Pelodiscus sinensis: one gene and its partners. The protein of the gene in region 1 purifies or fractionates together with the protein of each later gene. This does not show direct contact. Links are inferred from orthologs where the notes say so. Each region holds a gene or a part of one and is shown in the gene's direction. Other genes may lie near its edges. The genes, in order: SOX2, ARID1A, SSB and CCT3.

Region 1 (7,854 bases):
ATTAGGATGAAAGAAGGCACAAGGAAGGAATGCGGAGCTCGCTCTGCATTCCGCAGCTTTTCAAGAGTCCTTAGAGTCCTTGAATGAAATTATTGGGTGAAATTGGGTTTGGCTGAAGCATTTGTCATCCCCACCCCATCCCACCCCTCGTTCGTTTGTACGTATAATGCCACTTCTGAGCATTACAATCGGGCTGCTTGCTGGACAGACAGGAACAAAAAGCAGATTAAACAGTTTTAAATAATCAAAAAATATCTAAAATGTAAGCAGGGTGGATTACACTTGCTTCAGCGTGTCCATTCCCTCCCCCCTCCCCGTTCAAATTATTCACCTTCCACTCATCCTGACCCCCTCCAGAAACCAACAACCAACACGGGTTTAGGGAAGCGGAGTTTTGAAAATGGGGTGGGTTTTGTAATCCCTTCGAACCGGGACGGGAGAGAGGGGCGCTCGTATCTCACCCTCAATTAGGTTACTTCCAACGCAAGTTTTGAAGTTGATTTCGGTGCCTTTAACAGCCCAGAGATTGTTATTAAGGTTGTGAGGCTTCCCTCTCTTTGAAAACTTAACAAGGTAAACAAAATATTAAGCGCTTGCTTTGTAAGCTGTTTAAGATGCAAGCTTTTGTAATTAGTTGCTTCAAGAAAGGCACACAAAATTGTCTGTTTTCCTTATAATATTTCAAAGATTTCACGACATTGCGGCATTTAAAGAAAATGGCTAATCAGCTTAACTCTTACTTGTAATATCTTCAGTACATGATCCCCCCCACGCCCCCATAGTTATTAATGGATGTAAGTGAACAAAGCTTTCCCTATCAAAACTACATCAGTATTGGCCTGAACCTTGGTGTTCTTCTCTGGGAGACTTTCCTCTGGGCGAAAAAAAATATTTTGGGGTATTTCTCCACCACCACCTTTTATGCTTCCCATGTGGTATTTTAAAGTTACTTGGAGATTGGGTTATATAGTTAGCGTGGTAAAACTTCCATTGGCTAACTTTAGCTTCTCCTGTGTGGTTAACTGGTTCCAGAATTAGAAGGGGGGGGGGGTGGAGTTGTCTGTACATTTTCGTCTTTAGATTTTTTTTAACGTAATGAAATTAAAACTTTTGGAGCTCACAGTTGACATTTTGCAGAAAATTGAGTTATCAAGGCAGTAATTATTTCACAGGGAGATAAAACTCTCATAGCCCTAACTGTCAAATAGGGCCCTTTTCAGATTTTAATTACAAAATAAAATTAGTCTGCTCTTCCTCGGAAGGGTTTGTGAGTGGCTAAACAGAGCTTTCCCCAATACTGGTGGTCGTCAAACTCTGCTAATTAGCAATGCTGAGAAATTCCAGTTAACAAGGACATTCTCTAAGTCTCTGCAGGTTCCCTGCCGTTCGCCTTCATTTCCATAAGAAGATTAAGACTGGAGGGGAACACACTCAAATGCAGATGCAGAAAAGAAGCGTTTTTAACAAGCATCATAATAGTAAGATGCTTGGCTAGTTCTCACCTAATTACTGCAAGTTAAACCTCTATTTGCAGCTAAGGACAAAAAATAGGGCTGAAATCTTCCGTCTCCACAAGACTGCTTAATAGTTTGCTTTAGATTTGTTACTGGTAGGGTCAATACAGAAATAATCTGTATGTATTATTTCTTTTACAGTTAACACGATAGGTTGTATCTTCCGCGCTTTTATAAGAAATTGGTGGGTAGAGCCTGTGTCAGAGCAGTAAATAAATAAAAATCCACGTAGTTAACATCAATTTTCTTGTTCATAGACTCAACCTAGGAATAAAAGTGACTGTGCCTAACAATCCATCGCTGAGAAGGTTTGCAGACTAGTAGTTTAACGTAAGCACTTTTCATTTCCATAAATTATACCAAAGGCAACGATTTTTAAATTCATTCAGATTACACCATCCTTCTCCAGGCCTCCTTTTGAAAATGTCTATATTCTTCAATAGAATGTTGTTGTTATTCTTGTTAATTATTAAGATTGAGGTACTCCGATTTCATGGAATTTTTTTTTGTATATTGCTTAAAGGAGTAGCCAGTAACCCGATATAGGGAGACACATATGTATACAGGAAACTGGGACATTTTTCTGAAAGAGCTATCTCTTTATCTTATTTTCTATAGCACATTATTATGTATATATGCCAGAGACAGTTTATTGCATTGATAAGTAAAACACCGTTAATTAAAATAAAGCTGTAAATACTCATGATAACACAATTGTTAGGTATTTCCATACCTTATTTATATGATAAATGCAATTAACAAAGAGCCAAGCCAGCCACTTTAACCTCTTCAATGTGTTATTATAGAGATCAGGCACAAATATATGCATCTAGTTATGTGTAAAATCTCTCCTTGCGTTGCCTCAGCTGAGAATCACATACACACAAAATTCCAACTGCTTCTGCCTCTGTAGCTGGAGCGGAGAATAAAAATACGCCTTGGTTGTATAACACCAGCCATCAGTTATCAATTTATTACGATAAACAAACACCACTACCACCCACCCCCACCCCCTTTTTTCAAACTTAATTATCCATAAGATTTTTTGGAATAATGTTATCAAGTGCAGACCAAAGCATAAACAATAACAAAGTAAATAGTTGGTGTGCCCTCGGTAGTGTCTGGAGAATCAGGATTCGTTTATATCTTGAATCTCATAATTTGTACCTATTTTTCTATGGTTTAACCTATCACTCTATGGGCTATACGTACATTTTCGAATTAAACACATTAACTCCGGTAGGTTATATTTGCATAATCCATAAAAGATGCATTCGTGCTGTTGGGGTTTATTTATTATTTAGATTACATATAATTATTTAGTTCGTGGGTTTCCCCCCTTTCCTTTATTATTTCAAAACATTTTATTTTCAAAGTAAAGGGAGGGACATTCTCTGGGAGATAAATCTACCAGTAGGGGGCGCAGCAGTCCCATACCTGTAACCCCCAGCTCAGAAAGTACAAGGCAGCCCTCTCTCAATATGCCTCATCTCCTTTTGTGTGTGTGTATTTCTAAATCATTCTTTCAGCATTTTGGTTTAATCCGATGAACAGTTTAAATATAGAAGATTTTACAATCTATGTCTCTAAAGAGTAAAATAAAAATATATTTCGATGAGGGCGATCTCCCCCCTCCCCACCTCCTTTCTGCCCTCAGCCCTACACTCCCCCAATGCTTTTGTTGAAACAAACTTTATTTAAAAAGCTGGAGCAGTCTGTTTACGATCCGGTGTTTTCTTGTGCAGATTTAGCCGACTGAACTTGGGAGAGCCTGAAATCAGAAGCCTCACACTTAGGTGCTGGAGCTGGTGGGGGGAGCTGAAGCACCCCTTGGTTTGAAGTGGTTTCCATTATATACAGGATTTCCAGTTTGGTTGAACAGTTCTCAGCACACACATACCCCCGCTATAAAAATTGCCCCAGAACCCCCGGCCTCACACACGCCTCGGTACAAAAAGGGCGTAAAGGGGAGGTGTGGGCGCAGAGGCACCGCGAAAGAAAATAATCTATTTTCCCGAGTTAACAAATGGAACGTGCCTGTCGATAGAAATCGCTACATTTTCAGTTTGGGGGGAAAGTTGAGGTGAGGGGAAGCCCCTGATCGCTTAAGCACTTCATAGAAGAGAAATGGCGTGAGGCTTTTTCTTTTTCTTCTTTCTTTCTTTCTTTGTACTCAAGTGCATTTTAGCCACAAAGATCCCCACAAGAGAGTGGAAGTAAACTTAGCCGGGGCTTTGTTTGGCACCGTGTAGTGACAACAAGAGAAACAAAACTACCTATTTGTAACGGACGTGCTGCCATCTCTCTCCAGCATTGAGCTCCCACCTATTGAAATCTTTACATCGGGACAATGGGGGAGAGTCTAAAATTACCCTCCGGTGTCTAAAGCGCATTCCCCATTTCTCTCTCCGGTTCCTTGTCTCCTGCCCACTTTCCCGCAAGTCGCCTCACCTCCACGCGCCCCGTCCCAGCACCTGGGCCAGGCTAGCCCGGGCACTGCTGAGCCCCGCGTTGTGCAGGGGACAGTCCCAAAAAGTACTTTCCATCTGAGAAATAAGTGGCGATGGGGCGTGTGAGGAGATCGATCCCCTTCCAATACAGACCTCGGGGCTTGCTGGTCTTTTTGTTTGTTTGTTTTTCAATGGGCCTCTCCTTTGTAGGGACTTGTTATTAGGGAGCTGATGGGTACATGGAAATACCGTGTATTTAACGTGGTCCCCCCCTTTGTTTAAATTAGACACACTAAAAAGCCCCTCTTTCTGGGAGGCTGCTGGAGTGGAGGACGGTTTGGGTTGTTTTCCTGGGTCTGAATGGGGAAGGGCCCGCGACGGGGAAGTGGGGAGGGGGGAGGGAGAGGCGAAGGATGCAGCCAAACCCTGGGCTCGGAGGAGCGCGATCAAACTTCCCTGCCGTTGAGGAACAAAAGAAAGGGATTCAAAAGTGGGCTCCGACGCGCAACTCCAGCATGCGCGCACCGCGCGGCTGGGCCGAGTCCCCAGGAGCCGAGGAGCGCTGGGGGGGAGGAGGGGGCCAGCTGTGCTTAGCTGGCACGGCACCGGGTGAGCGCCCCGTTTAGGGTGCACGTATTGATCCGGTGTTAATCGGTGCTATGGGGGGAGGGCGCTTAGGACTGCGGAGGGGCCGGGGTGGAAAACATCCCGGGGGACACAGGGCTTCCGATGCTTTCTGGAAGGAGACCAGGCTTGGCACAGCTGTGCCCGTCCCTGGCTGCCCCAGTCCAGTGGCTTTGCCCTCCCCTTCTTTCCCCCAGCCCCAGGTTTGGGGGGGGGGGGTTGTTGTTGGGTTTTTTTAATGTAGCAACAACGCTGTTTCCCCCACTTCCTCCAACAGGCGTGCGTGACCTGTTGCTGTCAGAGGAGAGCCAAAGGCTTCCCAGTGGCTGCCTCGCCTGCCTTGCGCACCCGCCTCCCCCCGCAGAGCCGTCCCGGCGGCGGCTCCGAGCCCCCGCCCCGTTTCATGCAAAACCAGGGGTAGAGACTTGTGCTCAGTGGAGGAGCCGGCGCGCGCTGATTGGCCAGGGCAAACGCATTTATTCCCTGACAAGCCCCCATCACATGGATGGTTGTCTATTAACTTGTTCAAAAAAGTATCAGGAGTTGTCAAGGCAGAGAGAGAGAGAGAGAGTGTTTGCAAAAGGGGGGAAAGTAGTTTGCTGGCTCTTTAAGAAGGAGCAGGGAGAAAAGGAGGAGGAAGAAGTTGTATTTCCACCAAGGCTCCAGTGATCATAATAATTTTATTATTATTATTATTATTAATCCATCCGCCAAGAGGAAGCCTCGAACCCTGAGCCAAGTGTGTGTTTTTGGGGAGTCCCCCTCCCCCTTCCACACCCCTCCCTAGGAACGACAACAACAACACCACCACCAAAAAAAGTCCAGCTTGAGACTTTCCTGTGGCGGCGGCTGCATCTCTCGCTTCTCCGCCGAAGGCTTGTACCAGGCAAGAGCCGTTTGAATGTACAACATGATGGAAACCGAGTTGAAGCCTCCCGCCCCCCAGCAAACTTCGGGGGGAGGCACGGGCAACTCCAACTCGGCAGCCAACAACCAGAAGAACAGTCCGGACCGGGTCAAGCGACCCATGAACGCCTTCATGGTGTGGTCCCGGGGCCAGCGGCGGAAGATGGCCCAAGAGAACCCGAAAATGCACAACTCCGAAATCAGCAAGCGGCTCGGGGCGGAGTGGAAACTTTTATCCGAGGCGGAGAAGAGACCGTTCATTGACGAAGCGAAGCGGCTCCGCGCCCTGCACATGAAGGAACACCCGGATTATAAATACCGACCCCGGAGGAAAACCAAGACCCTCATGAAGAAGGATAAGTACACATTACCCGGCGGCTTGCTGGCCCCCGGCAGCAATTCCATGACCACTGGGGTAGGGGTTGGGGCCACCTTGGGCGCTGGGGTGAACCAGAGGATGGACAGTTATGCGCACATGAACGGCTGGACCAACGGAGGCTATGGGATGATGCAAGACCAGCTCGGCTACCCACAGCACCCGGGCTTGAACGCTCACAACGCGGCTCAGATGCAGCCCATGCACCGCTACGACGTGAGCGCCCTGCAGTACAACTCCATGACCAGCTCGCAGACTTACATGAACGGGTCGCCCACCTACAGCATGTCTTACTCCCAACAAGGGACCCCGGGGATGGCCCTGGGATCCATGGGGTCCGTGGTCAAGACAGAGTCGAGCTCCAGTCCCCCCGTAGTCACTTCTTCTTCCCATTCAAGGGCTCCATGCCAAGCTGGGGACCTTCGGGACATGATCAGCATGTATCTACCAGGTGCTGAAGTACCAGAACCAGCTGCCCCAAGCAGACTTCATATGTCCCAACACTACCAGAGTGCACCTGTTCCTGGTACAGCCATTAATGGCACACTTCCTCTATCACATATGTAAGACAAAAGGGTTGGGGGGGGGGGGGGAGGAGGGAGGAAAACTAAACAAAACAAAGAAACAAACAAAAAACACTTTTATTAGAGATTCTGGACTTTTTTTGGACTATTTTTGTACAGAGAAAACTGGGGAGGGCGTAAATAAAACCATCAAGGAACTTGTATAGATCTGGAGGGGGAAGAAACTACACAAAACTTTTAAAAAGTTCTAGAGAAACGGTAGGAACTTTGCAGAAAGTTTGCAGAAGTCTTTACCAATAATATTTAGAGCTAGTCTCAAAAAGCGACGAGAAAAATGTTTTAATATTTGCAAGCAACTTTTGTACAGTATTTATCAAAATAAACATGGCAATCAGAATGTCCATTGTTTAGATAGAAAAAAAAACTTGAGAATTTGCCAATTCATAAAAACAAACAAAAAATAAAAATAAAAACAGTCGACTTGGAAAATCGTGATAACTGCAGCTGAATTTATAGCAGCTGTAGAGTGGATATTATTTTACAAAATTTGGACATTTTAATTGTTTTAGAAATTGTACAAAAGGAAAGAAGTTAGGATACGTACTTGCAAAACCACTGAATTGTTTTGCTATAAAAGAGCAAGAGTTTAGATTGTAATTTTTTGTTTTTGTTTTTTGTTTTTTACTTATTGTTAAAAAGCAGAAATTGCCATGCAGGGTCACACGCCGTTTGTTAATTTATAATAGCTTTTTTGTTTCCAAACTTCATCCTGTTCAGATTTAAAAAAAACAAAAACAAAAACAAAAAACACTGAAATTACTGTGTTTTGAAATATTTTCTTATGGTTTGTAATATTTCTGTAAATTTATTGTGATGATATTTTAAGTTCTTTTTTCTTATTTTCCGTAGTTGTATTTTAAAGATTCGGCTCTGTATTATTTGAAATCAGTCTGCCGACAGTCCATGTATATATTTGAACTAATACCATCCTTATAACAGGTACATATTCAACTTAAGTTTTTACTCCATTATGCACAGTTTGAGATAAATAAATTTTCAACATATGGACAACTGACGTGACGTTTGAGTCTTGGATTTATTTTTGTAATTCAAAATGTTTTTTTAAAGGATTCGAACAGTTTAAGATGGCACTGTGGTTAGATGAGTATTATAAATAATACAGCAATATAGATAACAAATGCAAATATGATCATTTATTTGTAAAATGGACTTTCATTACTAGGTGTGACCAACTGAGCTGATCTTTTTGGATTTAAAAAAGTGGAGTAGGCAACTTACAATGTATACATGTCATTCCTTTAAGAAAGGGTAAGAGGACGTTTGGCTACTTTGCTGGTTCACACCACTTGTTGCCATCAAAAGACTGTGGTCTGAACAGGAGTCTTGCAACAGATTTAAAGTTAAATGGAAAGCAGTAACATAATTAGAGGGACTGGAAA
Region 2 (7,353 bases), on another chromosome or scaffold:
AAATATTTAGAATGTGTGTTGTGCATACACATATATGAATTCTCACTGAAAATGATCAATTATTTTATCAATTACAATTGGTTAACAACATAGTAAAAACATCTGATTGGCTACTAATTAAATCACATGCTTTGTTTTAATATCTTGCACTGCAAAGAGTTGGAGAAGACACCTTAATATAATATAATATAATTATAATTATATATGGAGATATACCATCTCATAGAACTGGAAGGGACCTTGAGAAGTCATCGAGTTCAGTCCCCTGCCCTCACAGCAGGACCAAGTATCATCCCTTTGGCACATTAAAGAGCCGCTTGCTGCTCACAAGCCTCAGTCTGAGTATCACTGCTTTACACTGAAATGTAGGCTCCTGGACTGTATTTGATAGCTTCTAAAGGGGTCCAATGAGATGGCAAAGTTTAATTTCATGAGGCACACTCTAATTTGGTTTCTACTCAGGATAAAATGGTAGTGCTTGTTCCAGTTTATTTGTGCTTGATGTGCAGCGGTTTAAAATTTGTTAAAATTTAAAGTGGGGGAAGTATCCTTGAAAAGGGTATCCTGTCGTTTTGTTGCTCTTTAATCTTCTTTGGATTTTACAGCCCACCATAGAACTTGGTAAAGCCACAGGGCCACCTTTGTGTGAGAATCTAGCTTGGTTTCTGTTCATTTCCTTTATTTTTTTCATACACTTTAATAGTGATGTTCTCATAGGGCAAGCATATAAAGACATGCCATGCCCAACCCTCCTCTGCTAGAGGAAAAGTTTTGTGATAGACTTACAAATGGGTAAAAAGAAAATATTGGTGATTTTTGGAATCCAACCCAAATGAAGCCCTCTGAAATTGTTTTAGAATTGCGTGGCAGTTGGTAAAGTGCATCTTGTGAAGGAGATTCCAATCCATTTTCTGGCTTTATACTATCATATAATTTTTGTTTTAGACTAGACTATACATTTTTTAGTAAGAATTGTGTCTTCCTATATGTTTTTGTGGCACCAATCCTAAGAGCAGCTTTTGGGTGGCTATTACAAAATAAATACTAATACTATTAAAAATACTGTAGCTATTATTATGTATTATTCCATTGCAACCCTAAGTAAAATAGTAGAGGAGGAGAAGAAAAGAATCCCCTCTTTCTTTAGGCCAATTGGCTAAGGTGGAATCTACTCTGTTATACATTCTGCTGTAAAATGGCAACATGGCCTTGGTTTTGGAGCCTGTAATGCCATTTGTTACTGTGGAATACATTCTGAATTTAGCTAATCATTGACTTGTGCTAACTTCAACCCCAGCTTACTACTCTGAAGTCACTTCTGTTTTTTAACACCTGTTATATTCTAATTTTTGTATTGAAATGTATTGGTTAATTGATTGCATCAGACACTGACATTTTCTGTTTATTGTAAAGCATACACAGTATTAACAGTGACCATTTAGTGTTTCTGGTGCTGCCCTACTTACTGTCCTATGCTTGGCCTCTTTGACTGCCATCAAAGATGCTGTGATAATGCTTTTTGTGACGTGGACTATAGTTAAGAAATGGGTGAGACCACCAATCCATTTCATATATGCTTTAAGAATGTAACAGCTGATCATCTTTACTGGGAACTACTGCCCTTTGGTTTGAAATGATGTTCTGGAATTGAAAGACTGTATCTTTACCTTCCCCCTAGAAGTATGTTTTCTTATGGTAGTGTTTCTGTGTAGCAGTTCTATATCTCTTGTAAAACTTCCCTTTTACAAAAAACAAAAACCAAAACCAAACCCTTCTTCCTAATGTACTGTGAGAATGGTGATTGGGTTATAGAACTTGATTATATCAGAAAATAGCAGCTGCAACATTCACATAATGAAAGAAAAGTTACAGGAGAGGTAAAAAATTCAGTGCTGTCTCTGTCCTTCATAACTAACTACACTGTTAGGACAATGAAGTACACCTGCTATACTTTATGCCAGTGGTCCGCAACATGGTGCCTGCATGGCGTCTGCCGGGGCATTTATGTGCGCCCACTGAGTGACCAAAGCCAGCCCAAGCCATTCTTACGGCCCGGGCTCCGGGCACACGATGCATGCGTGGCCCCTGCCCCGGGCGCACAGTGCTGGACATGCGGTACGTGCGCAGCCCTCCCCCAGATGCGCGGTGCATGCGCAGCCCCAACCCTGGGCATGTGGCGCCTGCACAGCCCCGCCCTTAGGCACGTGGCACGAGCGCGGCCCTGTCCCCGGACTCCTGGCAGCCCCAAAAGGTTGGGAACCACTGCTTTATGCCCTCTCCAAGCCCAATGCATGGAATCAAGATCCAAACTGAAAAATAGTGTTGCAGGTACTAATGTAATGCGAGACTTGTTAGCAATGATATTTTTCATTGTTGAGATCCTTACATTAAAGGATCTTGCAAGTATTTTGTGAACATTTTTCTCACAGAGATGTTGGACAGATTTAGTAGTAATCTCATTTCACATATGGGAGAAACAGCGTTGGGGAGTGATCTGTTACCTATTTCTGCATTTGTTGTAGGTGTACATGGTGCTTCAAAGAGATGGGGTTTCCAATACAAAAGCCTGTTCTACTCCAGTTAATCATCAATGGGGGCAGGTTATAAAGTAGATCATATAAAGACAAAGGGTGCTGATGGATAGGATTGTGAAACAAAATTGTATAACTTGTGCACTCTTTAAAAATCTGATTACCAAGAAGAAACTTACATAATTATATATGTATTACAGACACAAAACTTTTATCAAAAAGTTTTTTAGGTTGTAAAGTCAAGCGCTTGAAAGATAGGAAGTATCAGATTTACAATAATCCATGCAACCTTAATGCAGCTCCATGTTTATCCAAACTGTTATCTGAATAAGATAAGAATCCTGTGGAAAAAAATATTGTGAACATACTGTATAATTGGAATATATCAATGTATATATTGCAAGGGGGCAGAATTCAGGTTGAATGAGCAAATCCAACTGTGACATTTCCTAACTTCCAACTGCTTGACTTTGCAGTATAATTAACTTTCTTTTAATATATTTTTGCAAGACTCCTGGGTTTTTGTAAGGGGGGCGGGGCCTTACTTGCATCACTTTAGTTACAAGACTAACTCTGCTGATGGCCTGCTGGAGCAATATGCTGTATCCACAGGGATGGCCTGACTTGGCTCTCTTTCTTGTCTCACTATCAGGAGAAAGATATTTGCCCCATGTGGTCCTCTGGAATAGGGAACATATGCTGCTCTGCCCCGTATGGATCTGGTGTAGTTATGAGAGGAGCCTGAGGTGGGAGAGTCCTGCTTTGGGTGATGCTCTCATAGAAAATGATGAAAATGAGGTAGGACATATGATTGGTCTGAAGGGTATGTAATGGGGGAGGAGGGAAGGGGCGTGGCTTGCTCTATCTTTCCCTGTCCCCTCCCAGCTCCCAGGGCAGTGCCTGCAGCTTTGGCAATAGTGTAAGCCCCTGACTTCAGCATGTTTATGTTCAGTTAGTATTTTGGCATACTGCCAACATTTTCCAAAGGAACACAAGCAACAGACAGGAAATGGAAATTTTTAACAGTTTAGAACAGTTAAATCAATGGAAAATCCTGGGACGAAGAAAAGGCTTTTATCTAGCCCAAGGGTCTTTCTTCTGGTTGAACTTCACAGGCCTGTAGCAAACAATGCAGTGTAAAAATTTCCCCCAAAAGTAGAGTCACTTAAAATTGGATCACATTAGACATCCTAAGTAATAGGCTCTGTTCCATATCCTTCTATGAAACTTGCAGTGCATGATACTGACTGGTAGCTAGAATCCTTTTCCAAACCTTTGTGGCCCATACCCTGAGAGGCTAAGGAAGACACTTCCCTCAGGGCAGCTTATTTCATAATTTTCCATTTAGAGTTTTTGTAAATTCCGCTAAAGCATCTAGTATTAGCAGACAGGATGCTGGATGGAATGGGCCCCTGGACTAACCCAGCCTGCATGTCCTTGTACTCCAGGCACTCAGATCCATGCCTGGTCCTGTGGCCAGCATAATATCCCAGTTTTGGGAGAAAACCCAGCTTTCCTGACTTCTGCAGTTAGTCCAGAACTCAGGAGTCCTAGTTCCCAGCCCTTTGGTTAATGCAGTTCTGTTTGTTCTCCTTTAGCCCAGATGAACACTAGCCTCTGGTCGTTGAAGTCATCTTTTTGGGCGCCGGGCAGTAGAGCTGCGTGGGGAGCGCTTTGGTGCGTGTTTTCTGGAGGAGGACTCTGTGGCAGTCCGCTTCGCTCAGGCTGAAATCCGCTCCGTGTTTCGCAGTAAGGGAGCTTCCTTTTGTGGCGGAAGGTTGGATTCAGCTCCGCGGGATCCACTGCGGGTTTTGTGTGCGGCAGCGGCCTCAGGTTTGCTGAGTTGCAAGCGTCCGAGGCCTGCCTGCTCCTCCTTTGTGAAGGGGGGAGGCTCCAGTCCGAGCCGGGCTCCGCTCCAGGTTTGGCAGGCCGCCGCGAAGCTGGGTAAAATGGCAGTGCTGAGCCTCGTGTCGGAGTGAGCAGGACTCGGCGGACCAGAGTCGGGAGCTGCTACTCGGCTTGCCTAGTCCGGCCACCCTACCGCACAGCCCGGCTCCAGGGACGGAGTCCGCTCGCCCGCCGAGTCCCCTTCCCTCCCTCCTCTCCCACGCCGGGAGCCCCGTCCCGGGTCCCCCCGCCTCCTCCCCCCCCTCCCCGCTCCCTCCTCCCCTTTCTCCGCCGGCTGCAACCGAGGAGGCACAGCGGGGCCAGGCCCCGGGGAGCCCAGCCCAGCGGAGCCCTCCCCGCCTCGCCAGCCAGGCCGGGGGGAATGAACCCCCGCTGCCCTGAAGAGCCCGCCGCCGCCTGAGCGGGGAGCAGCAGAGCAGTGAGGCCTCCCGCCGGCCGGCCAGGCAGGGGAGCAGCTCGGGGGCAGGAGTCCGGGGGGTGGGGAGGGGGGGATCATGGCTGCGCAGGTCGCCCCCGCCACCACCAGCAGCCTGGGCGCCCCGGCTCCCGCCGAGCTGAAGAAAGCGGAGGCGCATCAGCGGGATTGTCCCCCGGAGGAGGCGGGGGGCGAGGCGGCGGCGGAGCGCGGCGGCGGCGGAGAGAAGCAGGCGGAGAGCGAGGGCCCCCCGGGAAAGGAGCTGCAGGACGGGGCCGAGAGCAACGGAGGGGACGCCGGGGCCGAGCCAGACCTGAAGAGCTCGAACGGGAATCCGGGCCCCAGGCCCGCCGCTGCCGCCGCCACCCTGAACAATAACCTCCCGGAGCCGCCCGGTGGCGGCGGCGGCGGCAGCAGCGACGGGGTGGGGGCGCCGCAGCAGCAGCCGCCGCCGCAGCAGCCTCCCCCTTCGCACCCGGCCGCCTTGCCCCCGCCAGCCTACAGCTTCGGGCAGCCCTACGGCCGGGGAGCCCAGGTTGTTGCCGCCGCTGCCGCCGCCGCGGCTGCCTTCCACCAACATGGCGGACAACAAAGCCCTGGCATGGCAGCGCTGCAGAGCGGGGGCCTGGAGCAGCCCTACCCGGGACCGGCGGGGGCCCCCTCGGGGCCGCCCCCTCCCCAGAACTCGCACGGCGGTGCTGAGCACGGCTTCCCCAACCACCAGTACAACTCCTACTACCCGGCGGCAGCCGGGCGCAGCGCCGGCGCCTACCCGCCTCCCCCTCAGGCCTACGCCCTGAGCTCCCCCCGGGGCAGCGCGCAGAGCCCCGCGCAAGCGGCCGCCGGGGCCAAATCCCCCGCCGCCGCCGCCTTCCAGCAGCAGCGCTTCGGGGCCATGGGGCCCTCGGCCGCCGGCGGGGCAGCAGGAGGAGGGGGCGCCACCCCGCAGCCCACAGCGACTCCCACCCTCAACCAGCTGCTCACTTCCCCCAGCTCAGCCCGTGGCTACCAGGGCTACCCCGGGGGCGACTACAGCAGCGGGCCCCAGGACGGAGGAGCCGCCTCCAAAGGCCCGGCCGCGGATATGGCCTCCCAGTACGGCGGGGGCAACAGCCAGGCCTGGGCTACGGCCACAGGAGGGGGGCAACAAAGGAGCCACCACGCGCCCATGAGCCCCGGGAGCAGCAGCGCTGGAGGGGGACAGCCGCTCGCTAGGACCCAGCAGGTGAGAGCTTGGCACGGGAGGGATGCGGGTGGGGATAGGGAATGGGGTTAGGAGTAGGGGATGGGCGCACGTGGGGTGGCTGAGGACAATGGGGGCAAGGGTAGAAGAGGGGCCTCCTCAAGGGCAGGGATGAGGGCACGTGGGGATATGGAGGGGGTCACGAGATGGCCGAATTTCTTACTGTTCCCTCCCCTACTTGGACCCACATTGCTGGGGAGCTGCCATTGTCTGTCTCTGTCTCTCTCTCTAAAATGGCTGCCTCTCTGCCTACTCTTCCTCCCCTTCCAGCCTTTGTGTGAGGCTTCTAGAGAGGTGCCTTCAGCTTCCTACTTCCCCTGCCTGCCTTGGGGGCTCTTGAGGGGAGATAGAGGGAGCCCTGGGGTGGAGGAAGGGCTTGGCGCTGTGGTGCTTGTGTGCATGAGGGGAAGGTGGGTAGCTGAGCTCCTCGGGGCTGGGCTGGGGATGGGGTGCGAGGAACAGAGGTAGTGGGAACTCTGCAGAGCAGCACTTACACATTTGCCCCCATTACACTCTTCCTCCTTCTCCTCTTCTTGCTCCTAGTGAGGGGCCTTTTCACTTCCTGGGGGTAGGAAGGTGGGAAGTGGCCTGCTTTGGGCAGTTGTAGCTTGCCCAGGCAAGCTGTGGCCATTTTCCTGAGCAGTCTCTTGGCTAGCCCAGTGGCTGGGCCTCTCCCTGGAAGTGCTGGTAAACAGTTCAGCGATTGGAGTAGTAAGTGCAGATTGCTTTGGTTTGGGATTTGAATTATGGAGGTAAAATCCTTCTGTCAAAGCCAGGAGACAGTTGGTCTTAGGTTGACATCCTATCTGTGATCTGATTGGCTCCTCATCTCCTGCTCTTGGCCATTTATAATTGCCTCTGATGTAATGGTACAACAATCCTGATGAGCTCATAAACTTTTACACTCTGCTTTTCTGCCAGCCATAACCCAAACCATCACTGCCACTATCTGCCTTTTTATTCCACAGCTGAAATTGGCTGTGACCTTGAGGAAGTTCAGTAGCAATACTGTATCAGCAGGAGCAGAGTTCCAGACAGGCTGCCCTTGTTGCATTGTGCATGAAACAAAAGAAGAGGCGATGGCATTTTGTTTGTACCTTGGATTTATTTTGCTTGTAATGTTTTATACAGCCTGGAATAGATTCTGTGTTGTCGGAAGAGTAGCAGGGGTTCTCTGTACAATGGGCTTGCTGTTTGTTTTGGTTATGTGACTTTCCCATTGGTATAAAGGATTTCTTTGATGGCTCTAAGGATGC
Region 3 (7,773 bases), on another chromosome or scaffold:
GCAAAGCCACGGAGGACCCGGGCGGGACCGCGGCGCGGGCGGCAGCACCGCTGCGCGTCTCGGTCCCGCCGCCTGCGTCTCCATGGTCTGCTGCACAGTGGACCAGGCTTTTCTCGCGGACGCCTGTGGTAGACTTGGGGACAGCTGGGGTAGAGCAGCTGGGGTGCTGCCGGGTTGGTCCCTGCAGCACCGAGGTGTGGCGCTGCAGGGACCTACCTGGCAGCGCCCCAGCTGCTCTGTCCTAGGCGTCCAGATTCAGCTGCTGTTGAAACTGATCAGCAGCTGATTCCAGGAAGCCCGGGACAGAGAAACTCTGCCTGGGGCTTCCTGTAGTCAGCTGCTGGTCAGTTTCAGCAGCGGCTGAATCTGGACGCCAGTTCCGACTTAAGTACAAATTCAACTTAAGTACAAACCTACAGTCCCTATCTTGTACGTAACCCGGGGACTGCCTGTATTTTGGGGGCTAGTAGGTACACTTTCATCTAGAGATGTCTTTTTTTTAATGAACTTAACAGTATCTAGTGAAACTTTAAGATCTTGTGTATGCAGGCAGAGTGGGAGCAGAGATCTGTAATCTATTGTACTGGACAATGTCTACACTGTGGAGCTATTTGCTATTCCACATCTTAAAAGCAAGCCCATTATATCGAAATATAACAGGCTCACTATTCTGACATTCCTGTAAACCTCATTGCATGAGGATTAAGGGATATTTTGGAATAGTGCTTTATTGCAAGGTAAGGGTACTGTGTAGATGCACCCATAAAATCAACTGTGCTTTGCTATAGAAATAATGCTGGAAGAGACATTGAGAAGACAAGTGAAGCCTCTTGTGCTGTGACAGGACCAAATGAAGCTAGACCATCTCTGGCAGGCATTTGTTTAATCTGTTCTTAAAAACAGTGAGTGATGAGATTTAGTTGGAAGCCTATTCTAGAGTTTAATTACCCTTTTCCCCCCCCCCCCCTAATACCTAACCTAAATCTCTCTTACTGCAGATTAGGCCTATTATTACTTGCCATAGATTCAGGGAGGTGCAGAACAATTTATTGTTTGCTGCCCTCTTTATAACAGATATTTGAAGAATGAAGTAGAACTTGACAATCTCTTAAGACTAAACATGCCTCATTTTTTAAAACCTTTACTCCAGGTCAGGTTTTTTAAGTCTTTATCACTTTTGTTTCTCTCACTGGAAAGAGGAATGATAAATTGGAGAGGCCAAATGAGTGGCCCCCAATATGCCACCTGAGGACTCATCATTGCAAATCAGAATGGGTCAATTACCTCTCATGTTTTACATTAGTGTTGGGCAACCTACAGCCCACTGGGGCTTCACGTGTGGCCCATGAGCCCTCTTGCTGTTCCCTCTCATGCCCTGAAGCCCCGCACTTCCCTGTTTCTCCCCCTTCATCCCAGCACTTTGAATGCACAAATTGCCTGATTTGTATTCCATCCTTGCTTTTCTCCCTCCCTTGCAGAGCTGGAACACTGCACATCAGCTGTACCCCAATGTGCAACAGTAATGTGGGGAAGGGGGACAGAGGGGCCACAGATGGATTCCCAGTGGGCTGCAGGTTGAGGAGGAACACTCAGATGGCCCACTCATAATTCATGTTTGACCATCACTGTTTTACATAGTGGACTTTCCCCATTAAGTGGTAGAGTACAGCTTGGAAGAGCTGTCCTTAATACTTTTTCTCATAGTTGGTTCAGTTTGCTACTATGCTGCAATGAAGGATTCATGCTTGGTCTACATAAGCAACTTGTGTCCGTGTATCTATGACCTAATCCCCGGTGTAAACAATGTTAGTCACCCTTACCAGGTGATGCTTACCAGATATTGGTATTGAGGAAGTGTACAGTCTCTTTAGAGCCATGGTCCCCAACACGGTGCCCGCGGGCGCCATGGCGCCCGCGGGGGCATTTGCATGCGCCCGCCAGGTGCTCGGGGCTGGCCTGGCCCCGGGCACATGGCGCACGGTGAGCGCCGGTCCCGGGCGCGCGGCGCTTGGCAGGGGGAGCGCCGGCCCCAGGCACACAGCGCTTGGCGGGGGGGGCACTGGCCCCTGGCGCACGGCGCTTGGCGGGGGAGCGCCGGCCCCGGGCGCGCGGCGCTTGAGGGAGGGGGTGCCGGCCCCGGGCGCGCGGCGCTTGAGGGCGGGGGCGCCCTCGGGCATGCGGCTATAGGGGGGGGCCGCCCCCGGGTGCGCAAGTGTCCCCGGCCCCTGGCGGGCCAACGGCCACACCCCCTGGCGCCTGACAACCTCAAAAGGTTGGGGACCACTGCTTTAGAGCAAGCCTTGCTGATGCGAATTTGCATTTGTGTTAAAAATAAAGTGCTCCCAACCAGCAGCAGCATATTCTAGCAAGCCACAGATTTTTATGTTGCTCACATGAATCAGTAGTTTGGCAGAAACTCCTCCATTCATGGCACTTACAAATGAGGCATGAGATTTACTGCAAGAAAATACAGCAAACAAAATCTGGCAGGCAACTCCTGATTTAATGGGCCTGTTAGTCCCTTAATAAAACTCTGTGGGAGTTTTTGGTTCGCCAACTCCTAGTATCAAAAGGGGAAGGGTCCATGAGACTGACAGACCCCAGAGACAATGGAAAGCAGCCAAAACTCCAGCTTGGCCTGACTGACAGTTTGGGCAGGCCAGTGAGGAAAGTAAGAAGCCAGGCCTGTCCTCCCTGTGAGCTGGGATTTTTCTGGGTCTCTCTGAGCAAGGAGAGAGAGCTGAGAGACAGCTAAGAGGAGCAAGCTGTGTGGAGAGGCAGTCCTGCAGCAACAGAGCCAGGCACACACAGCCCAAGGAGTGCAAGCTGTGCTGAGGGGCAGTTTTGCAGCAACAGAGCCAAGCACACACAGCTTAAGGAGCACAGACCCTGTGTTGAGCAGCAGACTGGCAGTGCTCAGAGAGCCAAAAGGGACAGAGAAGCAACGCAAGGAGCTGGAGACTGGCAAAGCAGCACAGCCTGCAGCTGGATGTGGTGAGCAGCTGAGACCAGCAAAGTGGGGGGAGAGGCTCTGGGCAGGGAGATATCACCAGCCAAGAGACCCAGCAGGCTAGATTGGGAGAGGGATCTGGCCACCTAGAGCTTGAGGCTGTATGGTCACTGCCAGAGCAAGCGTGTCCAGCCTGCAGCACATCCAGGGTCTCTTAGGGGCCTATAAGGAAGAGACTGTGAACTGTCCTACACTCTGCAGACTGCTGTTTGTGATGTCCCCATGCTACAGAGCAGGACTGTGTTCTCGTTTAACCATTCTTATTTTTTCTTATTCTTTTCTCTCTAATCAGTTGGGGCTCGTCTACACTGGCCCCTTTTCCGGAAGGGGCATGTTAATTTCAACTATCGTAGTAGGGAAATCCGCGGGGGATTTAAATATCAAAGTAGGAATAAGAGCCTCCGGAAAAGGGCGCTTTTTCCGGAGGATCGGGGCCAGTGTAGACGCTTTTTTCCGGCTTTTCTAAAAGCCGGAAAAAAGCGGCGGACATTTTTATTTAAATGCCGCGGGGGATATTTAAATCCCCCGCGTATTTCCCTACTACGATAGTTGAAATTAACATGCCCCTTCCGGAAAAGGGGCCAGTGTAGACGTAGCCTTGATGTTTAATAAGTTGTATTTGTTTTGAACATTATGGAATGATCAGTAGGCCAAGAAAGCATGCAGTGTGATGACAGCATCCAAGAGTGGGGACACTCTAGCACCTGCCCCAAGTGACTACAAGGTCAGGAATTAAGCCCCAGGAAACCTGGGCTCAGCCCTGTTTGGGTTTTAAGGTCTTGGCTATTCAGGAGAGTGGAGGGGGAGCCCTCAGGATCAGGGAGGACATGGAGTAAAGCAAGTGGGAGCGGGGACTCAGATCCTTTCGTTGGTCCATTTCACCAGGGTGGTATAGAACTCAGGAAAGTTCTCCACACTAGCGGGACCATTCTCCCCCTTACAGAGTCAATAAAGCTAAATGAAAGATCCACTAGATGTGGGAAATAAGGTGGCAATGAGCCCCCATCCAAAGTATTCCCAGGGATGGGAGCAGGGATTACTGCTTGGCCTGACACTTGAACCCCACAAAGCTATTTGTCAGGTTTCCTTGAACCAAACATTTGTCCCACAATGCGGCCACAGCCCCTCTCCTTGCAATTACTCTGGAGAGGCAGGACACACAGAATGCTTCTGCCTGGGCGTTAATGGGAAAATGGGAAAGCTCTGCAAAGATTCCCCACGAGCTCAGCTCAAATCTCTTGTGAGTCAGGCCCGTATGCAAAGGGTGCGGGCGCAAAGGGCGCGAAAGCACCTTCCCCCTCCGTCCAAGTAAGCATGCTCCGGCCAGCCAGGGGCGCGCTGCCCGAGCCTCCCTCTCGCGGGGAAAGCTGGCGCTGATTTTCCCGCTTACTGGGGGGAGCACAGGGGCCGCCTTCACACCCCTGCGCTCCGCAGTTCCAGACCAGTCCCCCCCCCCCCAGACACTCCTGCGTACGGGCCCCGGCAGCGCCGCGGCGGCCACCCGGCCCATTGCTAGTCGCAGCCCGCGGCACGTTCGCGCCAGGAGCGGTGAGGCGGAGCCAGGTCCGCGGCGCGCTGCTGCCTGAGGCTGCGCTGGGGGCGGGGCGGACGGCGTGAGAGCTCAGGCCCAGCCGCAGCTCGGAGCCCGGCGGGCTGGACCAGGCCTCGTTGGCTCCGCGAGCCTTTACCCCGCCCCGGGCCCGCAGTGGCCCGGCCTGGCCACGCCTCCTTCACGGCCCGTCCCAGAGTCCCACGCGAGCGAAGGAGCGAGGCCTGGGAGCCGCGGGGGCTGCTGGGAGAGCCCGGCCTGCGTCGAACCCTCAGCGCAGCTTTTAAAGGCAGAGGGCGGGGCCTGCGGGGCGGCGGCGCTGGAGGCTCGAGCGCGTGCGGTGCTGTTTTCGCCGGGTCCCGCGGCAGGTTTGTGGCCAGGCCACGCGGCGGGAACCTGGAGCTGCCTGCCCGGGTCGGGCTCGCGGCGCGCTGCGGAGCCGCTGCCAGTCCCACGTGCGGAGCCCCGAGGGGGGTGGCTGGGGCTGCTCGTTCTCCGGGAGCGCTGCGGGCGCCTCCCCGCCGCTCTGTCCGGGCTTTCGGTCGGCGGCCCCCTGCGCCGAGCGCGCGGTGCTAACGGGGCTTGGGCCGTGGGCGGCGGCGGGCCTGGGCTGCGCGGCGGCCGCAGCGGCCCGTGTGGGGCGGCTAGTCCCGTATGTGTAAGCGGCACGCGGGAGCATCGCGTCAGCTCCGCCGGGCGCTGGAACGGCGCGGGTGGCAAAGGAGCGTGGTTTAGCCCAGCTCCTTGGGCAGCGTTGGGGAGAAGGGCACTTGCCTGGGGTTAGTAGATGGGTCACCCGAGCGCTTTAACTATGTTGTTTGTCGTTGGTCAGGATAGATGTAGAGCACCTACTGCCTGTTACTGCGAATTAGTGATGTTAAAATACATGTGTTTGTGTAAATGTGTAACTGGTGAACCTTTTAGTGGTTACATGCTTATATGCAGCGGGCAGGTGGGAGCTGGCTTTTAAGGTCCCTCCGCACCCCCCCACTGTTGCTTCTGTATCAGAGGCAGCAGTGTAGGGGCAGGGTACTCTGTAGTGATCAGTAGGTGTGGAGAGCTGGCTACTGGCTCCACCCACCCATCTCTGTTATAATAACTGTGTTGGTTAACCCATAAGCCCAGACTTACTGGTTATCCATGTACATGCTAACATACTCCGTGGTCCCCAACCAGTAGATTGTGATCTACCGGTAGATGTTAGGGGCTCTAAGAGTAGCTCTTGAGCCCTCTCTGAGCTTCGTGCCTGCACAGTACATTTACATTAGATTTCCTCATTTGAGGAGCAGCTACTCACCGAGCAACAACACAGGTGAGTAGCTGCGAGGAATGGTGGGAGCTGTGAGGTCAGGAGGGCTGAAACACCCCAGCCAGCTGACTGTGGCTTTCAGCTGAAAGAGGCTGCCCTATGCTCCAGCTGATCCGTGGTTTCTCCTCTGTGCCTGCATGGAGCATGGTGCACCCTGGCTGAGCACTTCCAAATGTCGAAAAACCTTTTAAAAAAAAGTAGCAGTATAAGGATTGGGGATAGCAAGTGATGGAGAGGAGGAGAATAGAAAGAGTGGGGCTTCAAGGAAGGGGCGGAGCTTTAAGGAAGGGACAGGGCGGTAGATCTTGTCTTGGTCTGTCATTTAAAAAGTGATCTTGGGTGTAAAAAGGTTGGAGACCACAGTTTACTAGGAATGTAAGAGTGTTGTAGTAGTTCAGGACAGTGATGTAGTAAATTCAAGATTCACTGGTGTGGTGTTTTGACAGGTCTCCTGCTCCATCAATGATGATAAATGTTCAGCTGTGTGCCTTAACCGTTTAACCCATAAGCATTAGCTTATTTGGTTTCTGTTACAGTTAAACTTTTCTGCGGGCATGCTGCAGCTCTGCAGTATAAGGTTTGAACTGCAGATCCTGCAGTGCGGGGTGGCAGCCAGCTTCCTGGGTATCCCAGGGGCACCCCTCCACAAAAGTGGTAACCATGTATCTGCTAGGATATTTAATGGTTATACAGTTACTTTTTTAAAACTTTTTTTACATCCCTAGCTTTATTCAAAAAAAGTCAGTGGTTACAATCTGACTCTTTTGATACAGAGGCAGCAACAACATGTGGTGGAGGGGGCTGTATGTAACCATGCATGTTAACCAATAAAACTGTGTACATGGTTACACTTTCACATACCTACCTTGCACCATGCTGTTTATTTCAGTGCCCAAACACTTCTATATCTGAATACCCCTGTCCACGCTAGAAGGGTGTGCTGCTTTTAAGATATACTGATCTTGTTCAAGTTCTAAAGCATTCTGGTTTAGACAAGACTGATTTACATTATCCAAGATGTTAGAGATTCTTGGTTGTCCATTCATCCCTACTTAGAAGTATGCTTAAGTCCCCCAGGCTATATTTTGTGTACTACAGCTAATATGATTGGTTACAGCCAATGCATTTAGAGCCACATTGCCAAAGAAGATGTTGATATAAAAATGATTCAATTAACTATTTCCCTCACTAGAGTAAGCTAACACAATCATTTTGAAACGATATTACTAAGCTAGCAGTGGCTAAACAGGGGCCTAATTTTAGTATGTAAGAGTATATCAGCTGAGGATATAAAGGGTTAAGATGATTATATGGTAAGCATTTGCCTTACCAGATAACTAGTTAACCAGTGCTCAACCCGAGCAGGCCCAGTGTGCTGTGGGCAATATGGCCCAGCCAAGGCCCGTCACACCACAGGCCGAGTGTCTGTTCTAGCCCACCGTGTGGCAGATTGGACTGGAGTGGAGCAACCTCCTTCTCCAAGATCCCAGTTAATGGATTAAACATAGTTTAACCAGTTAACTTTTTAAACAGGATTTTACATTCCTAGAATAAACACATTTTAACATCCCTAGTACAAGGCACTTTTATGCTGTTAAAATGCTAACTCCAATCAGCACTCATGTAGCTTTATGCTGTCATGGCTGACTAGAAGAATTTCTCCTCTGATGTGCTTGAACCATTTACTGATATGACAAGACTGTTCAGTATCAAAATTGTTTTAGTACAAAAACATTGGCAGCTTGACCAGATAAAAGGCCTCATCCTTGTTTCTAATCAGAATCTGGCCAAAAGCGTGCACAAAGTCTGCATTTTACATTCTGTATGAGACCTTAGTGTGAGCTTGCTGCCCATGCACCATTTTCAAGTGTATACTGAAAAGGTAATCAAGGAACAACTTATTTT
Region 4 (7,283 bases), on another chromosome or scaffold:
AAATGATTCACACAGCCCAAGCTCACACAGACTTGGGAATATATCCTAAGGGTCTTGGTTGTGCCCAGAGCCAGGATAGACTCCAAAAGTCATAGAATCATAGAACTGGAAGGAACCTCAAGAGGTAACCACGTCCAGTCCCCTGCACACACGGCAGGACCAACACCATTTTGATCATCCTTGACACGTGTGTCTAACCTGCTCTTAAAAATATCCAATTATGGAGATTCTATAACCTCCCTAGGCAATTTATTCCAGTGCTTAACCACCCTAATTCTAGTCCCCTGCTTTTAACTGCTAGGCTGTGTCTAGACTGGCATGATTTTGCGCAAATACTTTTAACGGAAAAGTTTTTCCGTTAAAAGTATTTGCACAAGAGAGCGTCTACACTGGCATGGATGCTTTTGCGCAAAGCACATCTTTTGTGCAAAAGCATCCGTGCCAATGTAGACGCTCTCTTGCGCAAGAAAGCTTCGATGGCCATTTTAGCCATCGGGCTTTCTTGTGCAAGAAATTAACTTGCTGTCTGCACTGGCCCTCTTGCGCAAGGATACTTGCGCAAGAGGGAGCATCAGAGTATTTGCGCAAGAAGCACTGATTTTGTACAGTACAAGGTCAGCGTTCTTGTGCAAATACTTGCGGCCAGTGTAGACAGACGGCAAGATTTTGCGCAAAATCTTGCCAGTCTAGATGCAGCCCTAGAGAACACTCCTTTCCCAAACCTGGGGTGATTCTAACACTTACAGAATTGTTTCTGTCCTTTCCATAGCTTTGCAGCCTGGGCATAGGGGAAACCTGGGCTGGGCCTCCGTTGGGAAAATGGAAGCTCAAGAAAGCTGGGGGAGGGTTTGGCAGGACATAGCTTCTTAAAAGAAGAGGAAGGGCCTTGAAAGTTGTCCTCTCCTATGAAGAAAAAAAAAAAAAAAGGCTTTGCATTACCAAGATGTTTTTCACGTTTGAATAATAATCCTTAGCTCTTCTAGAGCATTTTTCATCAGTAGCTACCCAAGCACTTTACAAAGAAGGTCAGTATCATTATCCCCATTTTACAGATGGGAATGCTGAGGCACACAGATGCAAAATGAGTTGCCCATGGTCACACAGCAAGTTGATGGCAGAACCAGACATGGAAGCCAGCTCCCCTGAGTCCCACTAGAGGACTCATCCACTGCCCATCCACTAGGCTAATAGGCATAGCATGATATGGGTTTATTCCTTGTGTAGTCATTTACACAAGTGCAGAACTCCACCATTCTGCTCCATTAGCACTTTACAGCAACTTCACACTGGTGAAAATGACAACAAAAAAGGCAGGGCAATGGAAAATCAGGCCTCAGTTGTTAATGCTGCTTTGTAGAAATCAACCAAGTATGTGTGTGAAGTAGAAATGCAATCAACGTACTTTTCAAATGTTGTTTTTCTTCCTGAGCATCTGTTTCTGGCTCCATCTGAGGAGGAACAGAGCTTGTACCTATGGAAAGGAAAGAATGCTATTATCCAGGGGAACATAAAGGAAGGAGGTTGGAAAGACACAGACTAGAATACAACTTTCTTCTTTGCTGTGTGTGATAGCCAGACACATTTTTTTTTTTGTAAACAGGGGTGACTAAAAGAATGAACAATTAGAATAGATAAAGTCATTTTATATTGCAATAAAGTTTATGACCACTTGGAACTTTACAGTGATACTCATAGCACATGCTGAGGGCCGCAACTTAAGTGTGGTTGCATATACACGTGTATATACAAATATATGCAAATAGCTTGTCACACTGATGGGCATGAATACAAAGATTAAGGCAAGACTATACAACCTGCAGGCCCCATTTAAGTCAGTTCTGCTGATATTAATAAAATGCAATATTTACCGGATTTCCACCCATATGACAGCACTTTTAATGAGCAATGATAGTCCAGGAATTTAACTACTAAAATGCATATCTAGAGAAGACCATTATATTGAATACTTTTTTTGTTTTGGCTCCCATCCATGTGTTGAGCCCAAACTGCTCCGCCGGCCACACACAAACGAGCCAGGGGCTGCATGTTGATTAGCCCTGAGTTATATGGTTGATTTACACCATATCCATATTTCAGGAGGCTAAAAGGAGAATCTTCTTTAGATTATAGCAATGTACAGCCTCTGGCACACAATTCATTCTCTTTCCATGCACAAGTATCAGAGGAGTAGCTGTGTGAGTCTGTATCTCCAAAAACAATGAGGTGACCTGTGGCTCTTTAAATACTAACAAATTTAACAAGGCATAAGCTTTCATGGGTAAAAACCACTTTGTCAGATGCATCTGACAAAGTGGTTTTTACCCACAAAAGATTATGTCCAAATAATCTGTTAGTCTTTAAAGTGGTACAGGACTCCTTATTGTTTTTCAATTCACAGTGGCCTATCACAACATGTATCAATGCACATAGTTCTCTGTAATGTTAACAGAAGAGATAATACTGAAAGACAAAGAAAAGGGCATTTACAAGTGAGGAACTTGCTTTTAGAGAGGTGTGATGGCACAGTCAGGGTCCCTCCAAATCCTGCAGCAGCAAGAACAGACTCCGCCAGTGGAAGAATAGAGAGAGGTTTATTGTTCCTTCAGGATACAGCACAGCACATATGTGATGTGGCTACAGGGGCCAGGGCCACGATGCCTCAGACACTAGGGTTAGGGGTCCATCGCCCCTAGGCCCCAGCTTAGCCTCTTCTCTCCATGCTTCCCAGACAGCCACTGCCTCCCTCCCAGGCCCTGCCCCCCCAGCCAAGTGTTGGTCTCCGCCTTCCTCCCTTTGTCTCTCTCCCTGGGAGGCCAAGCCTAGGTCTGTGTCTACATTGGTGCGATCTTGTGCAAAAGTGGCTGCTTTTGCGCCAAAACTTGCTGCCTGTCTACACTGGCTGCGAGTTCTTGCGCAAGAACACTGGCGTTCTAATGTATGAAATCAGTGCTTTTTGCACAAGTACTATGATGCTCCTGCTCAGGAATAAGCCCTCTTGTGCAACTGTTCTTGCACAAGAGGCCAGTGTAGACAGGCAACATGAATTACTTGTGCAAGAAAGCCCTATGGTTAAAATGGCCATCAGAGCTTTCTTGCGCAAGAGAACGTCTACATTGGCATGGATGCTCTTGCGCAAAAGCACATGCCAGTGTAGACGCGCTGTTCTGGAAGAGTTCTTGCACAAGATCATGCCAGTGTAGACGTAGCCCAAGTGTCTGGGTTAATACACATTTGGGAGAGTCAGTGAGAATCTCACATCACAGTGCAAGGGGACACCGGGTTACAGAGCAGACAGCACCCCCACTACGCCACAAGAGGCAATGGGTGTTTTTGCACTGTAAGTCCTGGCTATTTGATCTGAGGAAGTGGGTCTGGCCCACGAAAGCTCATCATCTAATAAACCATCTTGTTCGTCTTTAAAGTGCTACATCGTCCTGCATTTTTCTTCAGCTACACCAGACTAACACGGCTACATTTCTATTACTATCCTGACTCCACTGTGTGTGGAGAGAAGTTGGGCAGGATAGTGAGTCAGTGGTACCCAGCACAGCTCCCAAAGGTAATACACATCTGTGCTCAATGTTGTGCATAGCCGGATAGCCCTAGCGCTATCTTACGCAGCTGGGGCATATGGCTCGTTGTGAAACTACAACTCCCATGAAACACCAGTGAAAGGAAGCCCCAGGTTAGGCCTACAACTCCCATCGTGCCTCAGGAAAAAAACTACGGAGCGTGACAAAACGTAAAACTACAATTCCCAGCATGCCCAGGAGTAAAACCGCAACTCCCATGATGCCCAGTGTGAGTGAGCCTCCCCCCGCCCCCCCCCGGGGAAGACTACAATTCCCAGCATGCCTCGGCGGAAAGGACTATGACTCCCGGGTCTTCTGGGGAAAGCCAGCTCTCTATAGGGCTCTGCTCTCCTCCCCGCTCGCCTCTGTGGCCGAAACCCGAACGTGACGGACACAGCGCGGAGCGGGTTCGCTTTCCTTGTCCAGCCAACTGCTGTTCGCTTGTGCGCATGCGCCTCACTTTCCTCACCACGACCGCCCGGCTCTCTGCATATGTGGGCTTTACCTCTGCCGAAGCGCTGCGCAGGCGCAGTTTGGGAGCGCATGCGCAGTGTTCCCTGTCCACCCCCTTCCTAACGGTGGTAGTTCCCAGTTGAAGCCGCACGCGCTGAGGCGGTACGTCTCAACCGAGCTTGTGCAGAAGCAGGGGGCGAGGCCTATTGGCGGAATTCCGCCTCGCTATTGGGTGCCGGGCGTTTGGCTCGGGCGGCGATTGGCCGGCCGCGGCGACGGGCGGGGTAGGGTGTCGAGGCGCGGTGAAGCGGCAGTGCTGGTAGGAGCGTGTCTGTCTCCAGAAGGTTCCGCGCCGGCTTCTTAGCTCCCAGACGCCGCCGCCAGGATGATGAGCCAACGCCCCGTGATCGTGCTCAGTGAGTGAGGGGGGGGCAGCGCGCACCTTGCTGGGGGCCCCCTAGTGTAGCTCCCGCCCCTCCCCCATTCGTGGGGGGGGGGGGGGCAGAAAACCTTCCCTCAACCCCCCCCCCGGAAACCTCCTCCCCCGCTCTCTGCACCTCCCCCCACCCCCTAACCCATGGGTCGTGTCGGCTGGGTCTCCTGTAACCCCTCCCCCACTGCGCTATAGGTCCCTGCGCCCCTCCCCTGCTCCACGCCCCTCCCCCACTCTCTTCCTCATTAGTGTCCCCCCCCCCCCCCCCGTGAGATTTTTTTCGTACCCCTGCTGTAGGCTCCACAGCCCCCCTTGGGCTCCCCTCGGCTCCCCCTCCCCCATTTTATCCATCCCCACTAAGGATGCAAGGTTGTTAAATGTTTAACTGGTTAAACGGGGGATGGGTGGGGTTGCTCCAGCACCCAACTATTAACCATTAACATCCCTAATCCCCACCATCCCCCTTGTTTCCTGAGTCATCCTCTCCATATAGCTCTCTACTCCCCCCCCCCCCCCCATCACCTGGTACCGAGAGTCCTCTGGTCCTTCTGCCTTTTTTTTCAGGTTCTTCCCTGATATTGGTGCCGCCCGCTAAGATCCACTCTTCTTGGGTTCTGCTAGAGTTCTTTCCATTTGCATGTCTGTCGTTTCTCCAGTATATTGTGTAAACACCCACATTTCTGCTCCAGCCTTGGGGGTCATCCCCTATAACTTCCACCCATTTAGGTTCCCCTTCTTGTTTTCCAGCCTTTCTCATCTTATGTGCTATTCCTCTATTTTTCTAATTTTTTTCATCTGTGTGGAATAAATTTTGAGTACTAAAGCATGTCCTTATGTGCACCACCAAAAGAAACACATTAAGTTACTGTGCAACAATGTTATAGTAGATTATCCAGAATATTGACTCATTTGAACTTTCAATCTTATTGGTTCTATGTGGGTAAAATTAAGAAAGCAAGTTGGTATAATTTTATTCTGGTGTCTGTACCTCTTGGATACTCTTATTTAAATGGCTGGATTCATTTAGAATTGGCCGTAATTCACGTACACATAAATAGAATTGCATCCTTGATATGTTGTCAGTATTGTTTCCTCAACACTAGATTTCCCATTAAGAGTTCACAAGATCAGATTTCAGTTGTATTCATGCTGTTGCTATTTTTTGTTTTCTGCATGTCATAGGTCAGAATACAAAACGTGAGTCTGGAAGGAAGGTCCAGCTTGGAAACGTCAATGCTGCCAAGGTACTGTTTTATGTTATGAAGTATGTTAGCAAACTAGTAATCAAAAGGTGACAAACACAGAATCATGAACTTGAAACATTTTCAGCAGCTCCCTTGACATCACTATTATTCACTTGGTATTTTTTTACAAATTTCACATGAAGAAATGCTGATCACTCTATTGCTGTACTTAAACAACAGCTGCAATTGAATATAACTTTTTGTTTTAGTGACTACAAAAAAAGAAAAGAAAAATTAAACGTTAATCCAAAACTTTACTTATGTCTGAACCTTGACATCTTGTTTAGCAAGTAGCTTGGAGTAATGTCTTGAGCAGATGATTACGTCCAAATACAGTAAAACCTGTGCTATCCAGCACTTAACTAGCCGGAAAACTTTAGAAACCTCCACATTTCTGAGCCAGGGAACAACTTGTTAAAAGCAAAAAAAAAAAAAAAAAAGAAACTGGTGCTTTAAGCTGGGCCGCTCCTCAGACACTCCCCCTGCCAGACGTGCATGCAGCATGTACCTGGAGGAGGAACGAATGGCTGCTCTGACCGCCTAATACCGGCCGCATCCTGGCAGCCCCACGGCTTGTGGCTGCCTGCCCTCCACCCTCTCCTCCTGGCAGCCCGGCATCACCTGCAGCTCACCCCCGCCAATTCCACTCCCCCCCCTCCAATCAGGCTGCATCCTTCCTCCCCCTTCCCCCCCCTCCCCCCCCCGCCAGTGGCTCGTGGCCCTCCTCTCCCTAGCAGGCCACATCCCGGCCCCCGCACCACCTAATCCCCGGATGTACCGGATAACATAGGTTTTACTGTGTTGTGTCTGATGTCCGAGTAGAAGTGACTGTTATCTTAGCCTTCATGTTATATTGTCATGCCTGGTTAAATCATACTCTTGCTGCATCCAAAGAACTCTAAAATAATTGTCATTTGTGTTAATTACAAGGTCTGCATTTTCTGTGTAGTTAGACGAGATTATTCAAGTCCATTTGGAATTTTGAAGCACTAATGTGTAAATGAAACCCTCAGTGCTGATCCCAGCATATTAAAAGGAGACAGCTTAGAATCAGACTGGGTAGCCTCATATTTAAGAGTGTAAAGCAATAATTGAAACATTAGACTAGGTCTGAATCAGTTAAATTCTTCAGTGTTATTTAAATGAAGATTAAAAGCAGAAACTACACACCTAATTCTTTCAACAGGCACAGTGTGCATAGGAATTTGTAACCTGTTACATGACATTTAGGCCAGTGGTCTCAAACCTTTTTACACTCAAGATAATTTTTTAAATGTCAAACAAGCCAAGATCTACTGCCCCATCCTTCCCCCCCCAACCCCACCCCTTTCTTGAAGCCCCGCCCTCTCTGTTCTCCTCCTGTCCATCACTTGTTATCCCCAGCCCTTATACACTCTCAGGGTATGGCTACACTGCTGCTTTTTTTTTTTTTCAATTCTTCTGTAGGAAGACGGTTTTCAAACATTTGGCCTGTCTACATTGGGCCAAATGTCATAAAAACCCCTTTTCTCTCGTGCATGTTTGCTCTTCTGCTAAATAAAGTGGAAAAACAAACGCGACCCTGGATGCAGAAGAGTTTTT

Evidence for each region.
Region 2: the proteins of SOX2 (region 1) and ARID1A purify together in Homo sapiens (affinity purification with mass spectrometry; 3 studies listed by BioGRID and IntAct, with this or other methods). This does not show direct contact. The link is inferred for Pelodiscus sinensis from reciprocal best matches to the Homo sapiens genes SOX2 and ARID1A.
Region 3: the proteins of SOX2 (region 1) and SSB purify together in Homo sapiens (affinity purification with mass spectrometry; 3 studies listed by BioGRID and IntAct, with this or other methods). This does not show direct contact. The link is inferred for Pelodiscus sinensis from reciprocal best matches to the Homo sapiens genes SOX2 and SSB.
Region 4: the proteins of SOX2 (region 1) and CCT3 purify together in Homo sapiens (affinity purification with mass spectrometry; 3 studies listed by BioGRID and IntAct, with this or other methods). This does not show direct contact. The link is inferred for Pelodiscus sinensis from reciprocal best matches to the Homo sapiens genes SOX2 and CCT3.

The regions. Positions count from the first base shown.
Region 1 is NC_134720.1:46,099,249-46,107,102, forward strand, and holds SOX2 (transcription factor SOX-2), read left to right. Parts: upstream 1-4,853; 5' UTR 4,854-5,489; coding exon 5,490-6,437; 3' UTR 6,438-7,480; downstream 7,481-7,854. UniProt on the Homo sapiens protein: Transcription factor that forms a trimeric complex with OCT4 on DNA and controls the expression of a number of genes involved in embryonic development such as YES1, FGF4, UTF1 and ZFP206. Binds to the proximal enhancer region of NANOG.
Region 2 is NC_134735.1:2,198,914-2,206,266, forward strand, and holds the start of ARID1A (AT-rich interactive domain-containing protein 1A), read left to right. Parts: upstream 1-4,338; 5' UTR 4,339-4,933; coding exon 4,934-6,079; intron 6,080-7,353. UniProt on the Homo sapiens protein: Involved in transcriptional activation and repression of select genes by chromatin remodeling (alteration of DNA-nucleosome topology).
Region 3 is NC_134717.1:39,956,517-39,964,289, forward strand, and holds the start of SSB (lupus La protein), read left to right. Parts: upstream 1-4,770; 5' UTR 4,771-4,927; intron 4,928-7,773. UniProt on the Homo sapiens protein: Binds to the 3' poly(U) terminus of nascent RNA polymerase III transcripts, protecting them from exonuclease digestion and facilitating their folding and maturation.
Region 4 is NC_134734.1:16,138,969-16,146,251, forward strand, and holds the start of CCT3 (T-complex protein 1 subunit gamma), read left to right. Parts: upstream 1-4,267; 5' UTR 4,268-4,410; coding exon 4,411-4,441; intron 4,442-5,640; coding exon 5,641-5,702; intron 5,703-7,283. Other genes in the region: TSACC (TSSK6-activating co-chaperone protein), read right to left, coding at 745-903, 1,403-1,471, 3,856-4,117. UniProt on the Homo sapiens protein: Component of the chaperonin-containing T-complex (TRiC), a molecular chaperone complex that assists the folding of actin, tubulin and other proteins upon ATP hydrolysis.